Ovis aries: one gene and its partner. The protein of the gene in region 2 interacts with the protein of the main gene of each other region in a pairwise test. Links are inferred from orthologs where the notes say so. Each region holds a gene or a part of one and is shown on either strand. Other genes may lie near its edges.

The links. The genes of interacting proteins can lie anywhere in the genome.
Region 1: the proteins of KPNA2 (region 2) and HNRNPC interact in binary tests that used the Homo sapiens proteins (3 or more experiments, as listed by UniProt). The link is inferred for Ovis aries from reciprocal best matches to the Homo sapiens genes KPNA2 and HNRNPC.

What each region holds. Positions count from the first base shown.
Region 1 is NC_056060.1:24,219,365-24,225,355, reverse strand, and holds the start of HNRNPC (heterogeneous nuclear ribonucleoproteins C1/C2), read right to left. Parts: upstream 3,504-5,991; 5' UTR 3,376-3,503; intron 2,761-3,375; 5' UTR 2,716-2,760; intron 1-2,715. UniProt on the Homo sapiens protein: Binds pre-mRNA and nucleates the assembly of 40S hnRNP particles. Interacts with poly-U tracts in the 3'-UTR or 5'-UTR of mRNA and modulates the stability and the level of translation of bound mRNA molecules. Single HNRNPC tetramers bind 230-240 nucleotides.
Region 2 is NC_056064.1:48,649,416-48,654,714, forward strand, and holds part of KPNA2 (importin subunit alpha-1), read right to left. Parts: coding exon 5,294-5,299; intron 5,145-5,293; coding exon 5,007-5,144; intron 3,340-5,006; coding exon 3,251-3,339; intron 2,109-3,250; coding exon 1,840-2,108; intron 1,677-1,839; coding exon 1,582-1,676; intron 1,488-1,581; coding exon 1,224-1,487; intron 1,037-1,223; coding exon 803-1,036; intron 566-802; coding exon 383-565; intron 1-382.

The sequences.
Region 1 (5,991 bases), on a different chromosome or scaffold from region 2:
CAAATTTAAGAACTTAAGATGTCTTCCAAGATACTATGCTTAATTGATGAGCTACCCCTCATAAAAATGATTAACCAGGTTGAACACCTAATTGTAACTTTCGCAATTAATAGTACACCTGTAGTTTATACTTTGTCAAATCTAGATTTGCATACCTTCTTCTACAGGGGTATTCTCAAAGTGAGGGCTGCCAACCAAGATAGCGTGGCACATACTAGAAATGCACATGAACAGGGTCTACCCCAGACTGACTTTATTAGAAAGTGGTGATGGAGAGCCCAGCAATGTTTTAACCAGCCCTCTTGCTGGTCCTAATGTCTGCTCATGTTTAAGAACCACTGTGCAGAGTTTAATAAGGAATCTCTATCCCCTAATTAGGATCGAAACATAGTAACTCGAAAATTATAACCTACCACACTAAATGCTATACCATAAAGCCCTACAGAAATCCCTTTTCCCTTCATAAACCTCAGATTTCCAATGTCTAAGAGAACACATGCAGCTATGCTACATCTTAAAGTTCTGATTTTCACCATAATCAACTATCTAGTAAATCTATTCTGTACAAAATTTTAAGCCTCCCTGGTCCCAATGAGAATGAATGAGTATATATTAAGTATGAGCAAATAATGTTCCCCAAAGACAACTAATTAAATGATCTGAAGACTGAAATACTGTTATTAAGACAGTTAACAGTAATTACTAATATACAAAAACTGCTGTCAACAATGAAACTATTTCTGTACACTATTTAGCCTTCTGGCAAAAAATCACTTGAATTACAGAAAACAGACATTAAGAGGTAAGAAGTCTAAGTCGCTTCAGTCATGTCCGACTCTGTGTGACCCCACAGACGGCAGCCCACCAGGCTCCCCTGTCCCTGGGATTCTCCAGGCAAGAACACTGGAGTGGTTTGCCATGTCCTTCTCCAATGCATGAAAGTGAAAAGTGAAAGTGAAGTCGCTCAGTCGTGTCTGACTCTTCTGCGACCCCATGGACTGCAGCCTACCAGGCTCCTTTGCCCATGGGATTTTCCAGGCAAGAGTACTGGGGTGCCATCGCCTTCTCCGTGAGGATAGAGACTACCTTTTTTCCTGTTTCCCTGGTTCGCAATAACAACATCATTCTGGTGGGGAAAGCAGACCAGTTTTTGGCAGCCCTGGTGGGAAAGGCGGATCTTGCATTTACCTAGGTTGGGGGGCAGGAGGACCCTCTCTGGAGGGAATGCTAAACGGGTATACATGAGCAAGACAGGAGGCTTTGGGTTCACACACCCCGTGACAACAGGGCGGGCTGGGCTGGAGGCCTTGCCCTTGAGTTTCTGAAGCCCCAGGGCTCTTGTTAAGACCCCTTATAAATATAAAACTGAATTTCATTAAGTTTAACTGATTTTATAAGCAGCAGGAGGGGAAAAATCCAGTTCTCTTAACTCCTAGACCAGGGTTCTTTCAACTGTCACACTTCCCACTTGACATCTCACACATCCACCAGTTAATATAAATTAATCTTTAAGATTAGAAAAATTAGCTATTTTGGAGCTTATTCCGTGTTTCTAACAGCAATTCCATCCAAAACAAGGTCACACAACTATGCAAAACCCTCTAGAGACCTAATCAGGAATAATGTGTGTTTATATCCTCTACCAAAGAAAACAGCAGGAGGCATGAGCATGGGAAACACAGAGTCCTCCAGCTTAAGCCATCCTTCTTAAATCCCTCTTCTCCAACCAACATGAAAATGTTACTAATGCCTATCTATTTGAAATCAAATCTACAGTTATTTCAGATATTAATTTTGTGGCCAAATCATTCCAGATGAGTGATATTAAACTGTTACCTTGGTACATGCTGATCCTATGGAACCCATTTCTAACACCTCAAGGCAAGAAAAGTGCACTTCAAATAATTTTATTTCCATCTAAGAATTTAACCATTCTTAAATACTGATTTCCTACATTTCTCTTTATTTGCCAACAATATTAGGCGTATGATTTCCTAAATTAACCAATTACTGCCCTTTTAAAGTCCATGTGACAATCTAAATGCTTAAGCTTTTATTTTTAAGGCAAAGCTTTTAATTCTATTACAAAATCTATATGCTAAGGGATCGATACATAGCTACCTACAGTAACAGTTTTAGCTTCTGTTCCTAAGGGACAAATTTACCCAGTATGGGCTTAAACTATACTTAACATTACTTTTTGTGAATGTTTAACACATTATGAAAAACAAAATCACCTAAATCTTACACAAAGATCAAAAAAAAGCGATTTCTTGGATAAGTGAATGTGATACTTTGAAACTTATGTAATTTTTAAAAACCTGGCAAAAATTGTTTAGTAATTTTCAGGGCTTAGCAAACAGTAACCACCATAATACCTGCTTAACAAAAGGCATATAGTTATGCATTTTTGCCAACTTTGGGATGGTCCGGAAAATTAATGCCAGATATCCCGAAAATCAAACTTCACAAAATCTTAGGACGTCACTTTAATAAACGCAATACTCATAATCTTTTCCCCAAGAGCAGTTTGGGTATTTCCAGTTACCGCTAGTCCTTGCTGTAATTATTTTTAACATCTACGATTTCAACGGGGAGGTAAAGCCACTTGCCTTAACCTGGAGACCAAATTCCTTACTAGTTCGGCTGATTAATATGACCCAGGCAAGCAACACTCATGCCTCGGTTTCTGTCTAAGAAAGATAGTATACCTACCTCAAGCAAGTTCCACTAACTTATATATTTCAAGCGATTTGTAACCTGCAGATAAAAACCCAGCTTTAATTATTACTGTTGATATGTAAATCAGATTACAATTTTTTAAATAAAATTGAAAATATTTCGAGGTTCATCATTTGTTCAGAGAGGCGTAAACTAAAAAGTAATCAGTAAAATATTAAAACTATTGTTTTCATATTTATACCCTGCGGTACGCTCCAGAATTTGGAGGCTTGCGGTACAAAAAATTTCTGCTTGATAAATCTTCCCCATCCCCCACTTAATTTTAAAATTTAACAGGAAGCATCGGCACTACATTAACTTGAACTACATTCATGAGCATCTTTGATCATCCGTTTCACAATCTCAGAGTCCTCATGGTCACCGAAAATTAAAGGACAGCCGTTAACACAAGAAAGCGAAAAAGAAAAACAGCATTTTCCCTGCCGATTGTGGCCTAGAGGACACTGGGTTAAAAATCTACTCAAGGGCTGCGGCCTAGAAAACTCTCCGCGTAAGATCTAATCCCCCAAACCAGAGAATAAATGGGGGCCTGCTTACTCTACCGAGGGGAGGGTTCCCTCGTCCTCTCTCCCACTCCACCTCGCGCTCCCCAAAGAACCCAGCGCTTCCTCTGCTTCCGCTCCCTCCACTTACCAGGAGGGGGAAGGGAGAAGAGATTCGATTCTGAATCTCCTACCCCTGGGTTCTACGTGAAGAAGCCGATGGCTGCTCGAGGTCGGCAACGCGGTCGCAATCGCTCAGTCTTCGCCTCTTCACAAAATGGCCCCCGAGTCTCCTCTGCCGCCGAGGCGAAGGCCTAGGCCCGCCTCTCTTCTGAGAATCCTCCTATTGGCTGCGAGTTTTCTCGCTCCCGCTTCTCATTAGACAGTTCTACCGCTCTTCACAATTCTATCCAATCACAATCAGTAGTGGCTTAGACTAATCTAGAGAATTTCCACATGCGTGGGAGAAACTAGTTTGTAACTGGTCATATTTCCTGTCATTTATCTTCTGAGACATGCTTATTGGCCACTGTACCCTGACGAAGCTCTGGGTGGAAACTTGCCTTTGTAAGGCTCACCGCTTCACATCCGGGTATCCGAGATACCTGATTGGCGGTCTCAGTATCCCATCGCTACTCTTCAGAGCGCCTAGAAGGAGGCCCACCCGGATCTCGGAATTCCCGCGGCGCGGGGGCGGGGGCGGGGGTAGGGGGGCAGATGAAGATTGCCGGGTCTTGTTTGGTAGACTTCTGAAAGGTCTACCCTAGCTCCCGGCCTAGGTAAAAGGAAAAGCTGTAGCCCGCGGGGTGAACAAAAAAATTGTTTTTTCTTTGACTGGGGAGGGAGCACTGAAAGCTAGAATACAAACCAGCCCTGCAGTTTTTCCAACCCTAGAGCTCCTTTCTGGACATTTCTCAGCTTGTCAAGCCCTTCAAACAACCCATAACTCACGCAAAACAACTGACTTAACTCACCTCTCCACTGCAAAAGGTAAATAAAGTCTAAAATACTGGCCTGGGATACTACAGCATTCGTCCTCTGGCCCCAAGTCATCTCACTTTCTTTTTTTTTTTTTTTCCCAAAGTGGTGAGGCTGAGGGAGTGTATTCATTTATTTTTTAATATAAATTTATTTATTTTAATTGGAGGTTAATTACTTTACAATATTGTATTGGTTTTGCCATACATCAACATGAATCCGCCACAGGTATACACGTGTTCCCCATCCTGAACCCCCCTCCCTCATCCCTCCCCGTACCATCCCTCTGGGTCGTCTCAGTGTACCAGCCCCAAGCATCCAGTATCATCATCTCACTTTCTGATATCCTATATGCCAACCAAATTGGTTCAACTGGCTAGCTCTCCCCCGCCCGAACCCACAATCGGGTCCCTTAATTCTCCGCATCCTGAAACGATCCTGTCTCCCACCTACCGGCGTCGTCTGCACTGCAGTCCCTCTGGTTATATTATAGCAGCCGAGCACGCAATGCAATAAGGACCAGCTGTGCTAGGAATAGGAATAAAGGATATTTCTCTGTGTAGTTGGGGAAAGCAAGATTGCAGAACACTTATCTAGAGAATGTGATACTCTATACATTTTAAGGAATATATGCATTTGTGAATACAGTTTTATGCATTAGTTTCGAATTAATTCTTAATTTCAGATTCACAAGGAAACTGTCTACCTGTCAAATGGCAAAAATCAAGACAGTTTAGTAACGAGTGTACTGTCCTTTACTCAAGTGAAAACAATTCATGGTTGGAAGAGTACGGTAACTCACAAGCAGTGGAGCACTCCCCCAGGGAGTCTGGGCAAGAACGAGCTTAATACAGCATTAAAAGCAGCAAGGCAATCGAGTTTGATCGCCTGCGGTTGTGTATCTGACCTTATTTAGAAAGATTAAGGAACAAGGAAATAAGTATACAGCCTAAAAAGTATGGCGTTTGAGAAGATTGACTGACTGGGTGTACTGAGTTTCTGGTCAAGGTGACCTTTTACAGGAACTTGAAGTTTAAGTATGCTAACGTGACACCCCCAGCAGGAGCAACTCCATCTTGGGCCTAGAAATTTATCTGGACATATCTTTGGGGAGCGAACCTTTTACATTTTTCAGTGGTACGCCTTTCTTTACAATTTGAACTTTTTGCCATATGCATATGTTGTTTTAAGCAAATCTAAAAAGCAAAAGCAAAAAGCATGTAATAAAAAATAAACTAAAATGTTAATGGTGGTTCCCCCATGGTGGGAGAACTTGTGCTTTTTCTTTTCCCCCTTAAACTTGCCTGTGCTTTTCTATAGTTTCTGAATTGTTAAGTTTGAACAAGTAATCAGAGAGGAAACATCTCCAAGTGCTTAAAGCCTCAGCTCAGTTGCCACATTGCAATTTATTTAAAATGACCTCATTGCACTGTTGTTAATTTTACATTTGTCTCTTCTTCTCTCATGGATAGTATATCCTTTTGATTACAGAGTTTAATTCTCATTGCTCTCTGTATTCCCTTTGCCTACTACATGTCCTAGGACCTTAAACAGAGAGTGTCTGAAATTTGTGTTAAATTAATCATTAGCTTTTATTTAGCAGGAGAAATTGTTATTTTCCCTGGACAAACAGGTAGACTGTACTTTTTTCTATTAAATATTTTATACAGTTCTTACTCAGAGGAACCCAGATAGTATGAGGCTTGATTGACATGTTATGCGTGTGTTTCTTAAGTAAACAAAAATAAATACTAGCATGTTTTATTAATCATGGTTCTCATAGAATAAA
Region 2 (5,299 bases):
TGATCAAGTGCCATGTGTTATCACACTTCGATCAGTTGGGAATGGAACCAAAAGAAAAATATAATTAACCAGGTCATTCAAATTTAATTTCACCGAAGTTTAGTATGAAATTAGGGGAATTAATGCTTGACAAAATAAATGTGTATGAACAGCATATCATCTACGTACCTGGCCTCAATTCAGGTCACATCATGCATTTGTCATCTCCTTTTTCTCTCTCATAATCCTCTGCCACATCATTTATCCAGAGTGTGGCCCACAGAAACAGGTTTTCTGATTCTGCGGTGAACTGAGTAAACTTAGCTGCCCCTCACTTGTCATCTAAATAGTAAACCAATTATCGAGTCCAAATTCAAACAAATGCTGTCTTGTTAAGCCTTACCCGAAAGATATTTGAAACGGCATCCAGAATAACCAGAACAATTTTGGTATCTTTTGCAGTTAGGAGGTTCATCAACGGCTCTATTATGCCGCAGTGAACAAGGTACACGATCTGCTCAACAGTTCCGCCACTTGTATAATTGTTCACAGCCCATGCGGCTTCCTTTTGTGTCTTAAAGTCTGCCTAATTAACATAAAGAAACAGGTTTATTTTAGAATGGTCATAAAAATAAGATTCCAAAACTACTGTTTTAGAAGAAAGTGATTAAGACTTTCAATTGGTTCTATCCAAGCTAAAGTAAAAAGGCTACTATTATTTAGCAAAGGACTGTTAAACAGAACCCAGCATTAGTATGTTAAGAATCTTAAGAAATACAACTCTACCAAGTGCCTGCCCATTTAAGTCCTAAGGCTACAGTACCTTTGAGAGAAGGCCAACAAGGAATGGGACTAATCCATGATTCACAACTTGTTGTATCTGGTCCTGGCGGCCAGCTGTGATGTTTGACATTGTCCATGTAGCTTCCTTCTGAATATTAGTTTTGGAGTTTGTCAGCAGGCTGGGAAACACGGCAAGTGCTCCCGCATCTATTACAACCTGTGTTTGTTCATCTGTCCCAGTGACAATATTTCCTATGGCTCTGAGCGCAGGAGTCTGAAAGGAAAAAAAGTTGACGCTGGCAGTTATCTTTTATCTATTCCAGCACTACTCAAAATCTCTACACCCTAAAAGTTTTGACAGGTAAGAGGCTCATTATGGCCTAAAATATATAATATGTCAATATTAGTACCAACTAATTGTGCTCCTTATACTTTATACTCTCATTTGAAAATCAACTTACCACAATTGGCAATTCAGTAGCTCCTAAAAGCTTCACAAGTTGGGGTACAACCCCAGTTTTCACAACCATTTCAATCCGTTCATTTGGACCATCAGTAAGGTAGGAAATAGCCCAGCAGGTGTCAGCTAATACTTCCGGATCATCGTGATGCAGGAGACGAACTAAAGTAGGAAGAATCTGCTCAATAGCCTCTAAGGGGGGTGCAGGATTCTTGTTGCGGCAAAGATTTGAAAGCGTCCAGGTAAGATTACGTAAGTAACCACACTGGGGGGAAAAGAAACACGCAATGAAGTGGTTTTTTAAGGGGGGTAGGAAAATGAGAATCAGTGAGAAACGTGACTTATGCTAAGTAACTTACTGCTAGAGACGACATATCAGGCACAGCCAGAAGTGCCAAGAGCGGATCAACTGCACCATACTTGATAACCAGGTCTCGGAAAACGGAACCATCACCTTAAAAAAAAAAGAAGGCGGCTGAGTCAACCACTACCACCTGTCTAGTGCCATTAATTTCCGTTACAGAGTACACCAATGTCTTGACGCAACAAACACACTAAGACACGTATGCCAACCTCAGTATGACTGGAGACATTCAGCCAATTTCAAATCCAAGTACCTGCAATGTTTCCCAGAGCCCATACAGCTTGTTCACTGATGTGAGCATGGGGAGATGCCAACAGAGAAATGAATGCTGGGATAGCACCTCCGTCCACCACAGCCTTGGTCTGTTCTGAAGTCCCAGAAGCAATGTTAGTGAGGGCCCAGGCAGATTCGAACTGAATGGGACTACAATCAGTTCTTCCCAAGAAGGACACAAATTTTGGAATCAAACCAGCCCGGATTATGTTGTCAATAGGGGGCTGTTTTTCCCTAGAAAGCAGTTTCCTATGGGTAAGCAAAAAGAGAAACAAAAGTTGAAGGTGATTAACCAAACAGGTTCATACCAGAGGAAAAAAATAAAAACAAAAACACAATTTAAAACGCCAACTCGAGACCAAACAAGTTCATATAAAAAACACAATTTAAAATGCATCTTGCATGAGTACAGCTGTGGTGGATTCATGTCAATGTATGGCAAAACCAATAAAAGTAGAAAAAAATAAATAAATAAAATGCATCTTACACGGGGATGATCCAGAGAGATGATATGGGGTAGGAGGTGGGAGGGGGGTTCAGGATTGGGAACTCATGTACGTCCGTGGCGGATTCATGTCAATGTATGGCAAAACCAATACAGTATTGTAAAGTAAAATTAAGTAAAAATAAAAATTAAAAAAATAAAATAAAATAAAATAAAATGCATCTTAATCCAAGAGTTTAGAACTTTAAGTAACCTTTTACAGTGAAGACTAAATGCTGACATATCCTGGAATTTAAGAGGAGCTGAGCAGACAGACTGTTTGCATGGTGGGGTAGTGTCGTAAACTACTTTTCCCAAAACTGAAATATTACCAATGACGCAGAACCCTTCTCTCTGCAGAAATCTACTCCAGATCTTACCACTTTTTAAAAACTTTGACATACGATACCATCACAGTCCATTAATCCGCATTACTCTGGCCAGTGGTGGGGACACACACGTTTCCCCTGATCTTCTGCCAATTGGACCTGCTTTTCCCCACACTGTGAGGCTACAGAGATCATCAATCCTTATATTATGGATGTCACAGATAGCTGTGTATGGTGGGTGGGAAGAGTCTAATAAATAGAATATATTTATTTCCTAAATGGATGAACCATTCTAAATCAATGTGGTAATCCCAGTTACTGAATAATTCCTCCTTTCCCTGACATTGACTTGAAATGCCAGTGACAAGAAAACATTTCTGAAGTACACTAAAGTTATCACTGGAGGTAGATGTAATTTGAGGCAACTACAGAAAATTTTAGATTAGGAAAGATTATAATGAAAATTGGCCTAGGCCTGGCTTAACCTTTACTCTGCACCACCTGCCATTGCTTTCCCACCAAAAAATGTAAAAAGGCTGATTTCTTAGTTTACTCATGCTACAGAAGACAAGACTTACCTAGCAGCTTGAGTAGCTTGGAGCTGGCTTTCCAAATTGTTGCTATTTATGCCTTTGACAATATCATCAACAGACCAATTTACAGTGCCCTACAAGAACAGGGAAATTAATTTTCAAATTATCATTTTTAAGATTAAATACAATGCAATCCCAACACGAAGACATTTCTGTTTATAATCAGTTACTAAAGTTTAGTCCCACATTTAAATTCGCCTGTTAAATATTCAATATTTAATATATAGAACAATCCTCAAATTAGGTGTCATGACCAAATGATATCTTAAGTGATGGAGTATCCCAGCATCTAGTCACTAAGAAAAGTAGCTGTGAATAGGTTAAAAAAAATGAACTAGAGCACTGCGAAGGTTATTCTTACATTAGTCTCAATCACTTGTATTCAGATATGCTTTTAGGGGAAAAGGGACAGAGTTAGAGGCAATGTGCTGGGAATCTGAAAAGCTAAAGTTGTTATCCATGCATTTCCCCTCCGGTTTATGTGGTATTTATGCACACATAAACATTATAGGTAGTAACTACATATTGGAGTTAACTGCAGCATTTGCGAACCAAGCTACAGTTAACTCAAAAAGACAGTATCACATTCTCCCTAAAACCTTACAACAAGGACAATGTAAAATCTAAACACCACAGAACAAATGATTATATATATAAAACACTGTATATAGCATTATACAGAATTTACTCTTCATTTGTGGTGCAGAATGGGGTGCTGTAGGAATTCTGGGAAGGAAGCATTTTTCCTGTTAGGATGACCTAGAAGTGCTACAAAGAGAAGATGAGATTTGAGTATAAAACTTGAAAAACACAACACAGGTCGAATTCAGGGGGGCGGGGGGGGGGGGGGGGGGGGGAGAACACTGATAAAATGAGGAGAACTGAAGGAAAGCATAATGTGGGGGGAAAAAGCAGGAAACTGCCCAATATTTTTAAAAGATGAAAGATAAATTTAAAAATGTAGGATGGGGTTTCCCTGGTGGCTCAGCTGGTAAAGAATCCAGCTGCAATATGGGCGACCTGGGTTCAATCCCTGGGTTGGGAAGATCCCCGGAGAAGAGCATGACTACCCACTAGAGTATTCTGGCTTCCATGGACTGTATCGTCCATGCGGTCGCAAAGAGTTGGACACAACTGAGCAACTTTCCCTGACTTCTGATAAAATCACGAAGTCTCCATGAGTAGAACTCTAGGATGGGTCTAATTTCCAAAAAACCTTTTAAAAAGGATTTAGAATCATAAAATTTCTAAGATGTTTTAAGCAGTATTTTAAGAAAACTTTTAGGTAAACAGTAAGTGGCACAGAAAGAAAATCAAGAGACAGCTGAGGAAAAAGACCTGAAAAAAGCTGGTGACAACTACAAAAAAAAGAGAGGGAGGGAGGAAGGGAAAGGGAGAGAAAGAAAAAAAAAGGCAGGAAAAAAAAAAAGTTGGTTCTGGACATACTTTCACTGAACACTTGAATGGCCAACTCAAAGTAAAAGCTGGCAACTGGAAAAGCAGGGAAACTTGAAGGGGAGATCAGAGCTAAAGACAACCTTGGAATCAGCTTCCACAGATTACAGAGGATGGGCGGGGGGAAGATAATCCATCAGAATTACTGAACAGGAGCACACAAAGACAGATCTTCACATTTGATAGTTAAAACCCACAAAGCTAAGACATGTTATTTAAATATCTCAGAAAGGCCTCATATTGATTTTCTGGGTTTACCATAACTCATAAACTAAAATATCCTCACCTGGTTGTTGCGGTTTTCCTGCAGTGGAGAAGTAGCATCATCAGGAAAAGAGCTGACATTTCTCCTTTTCAGCATCTGGTCATCCTTCTTAGCTTTCCTTAGCTCCACATTCACTTCTATTCGGCGCCGCCTCATTTCCTTGAGAAAAGATAACGTATCATCTCACCTATTACATCAGTGTTAGGTGCCAAGTGAAGACAACTTTTTAAATTCACTCAAAGTGTGGACGCTCTTTCCAAATACCTTACCATTTAAAAAATACTAGAAAAACAACAGAAGGTACTCACTGTACT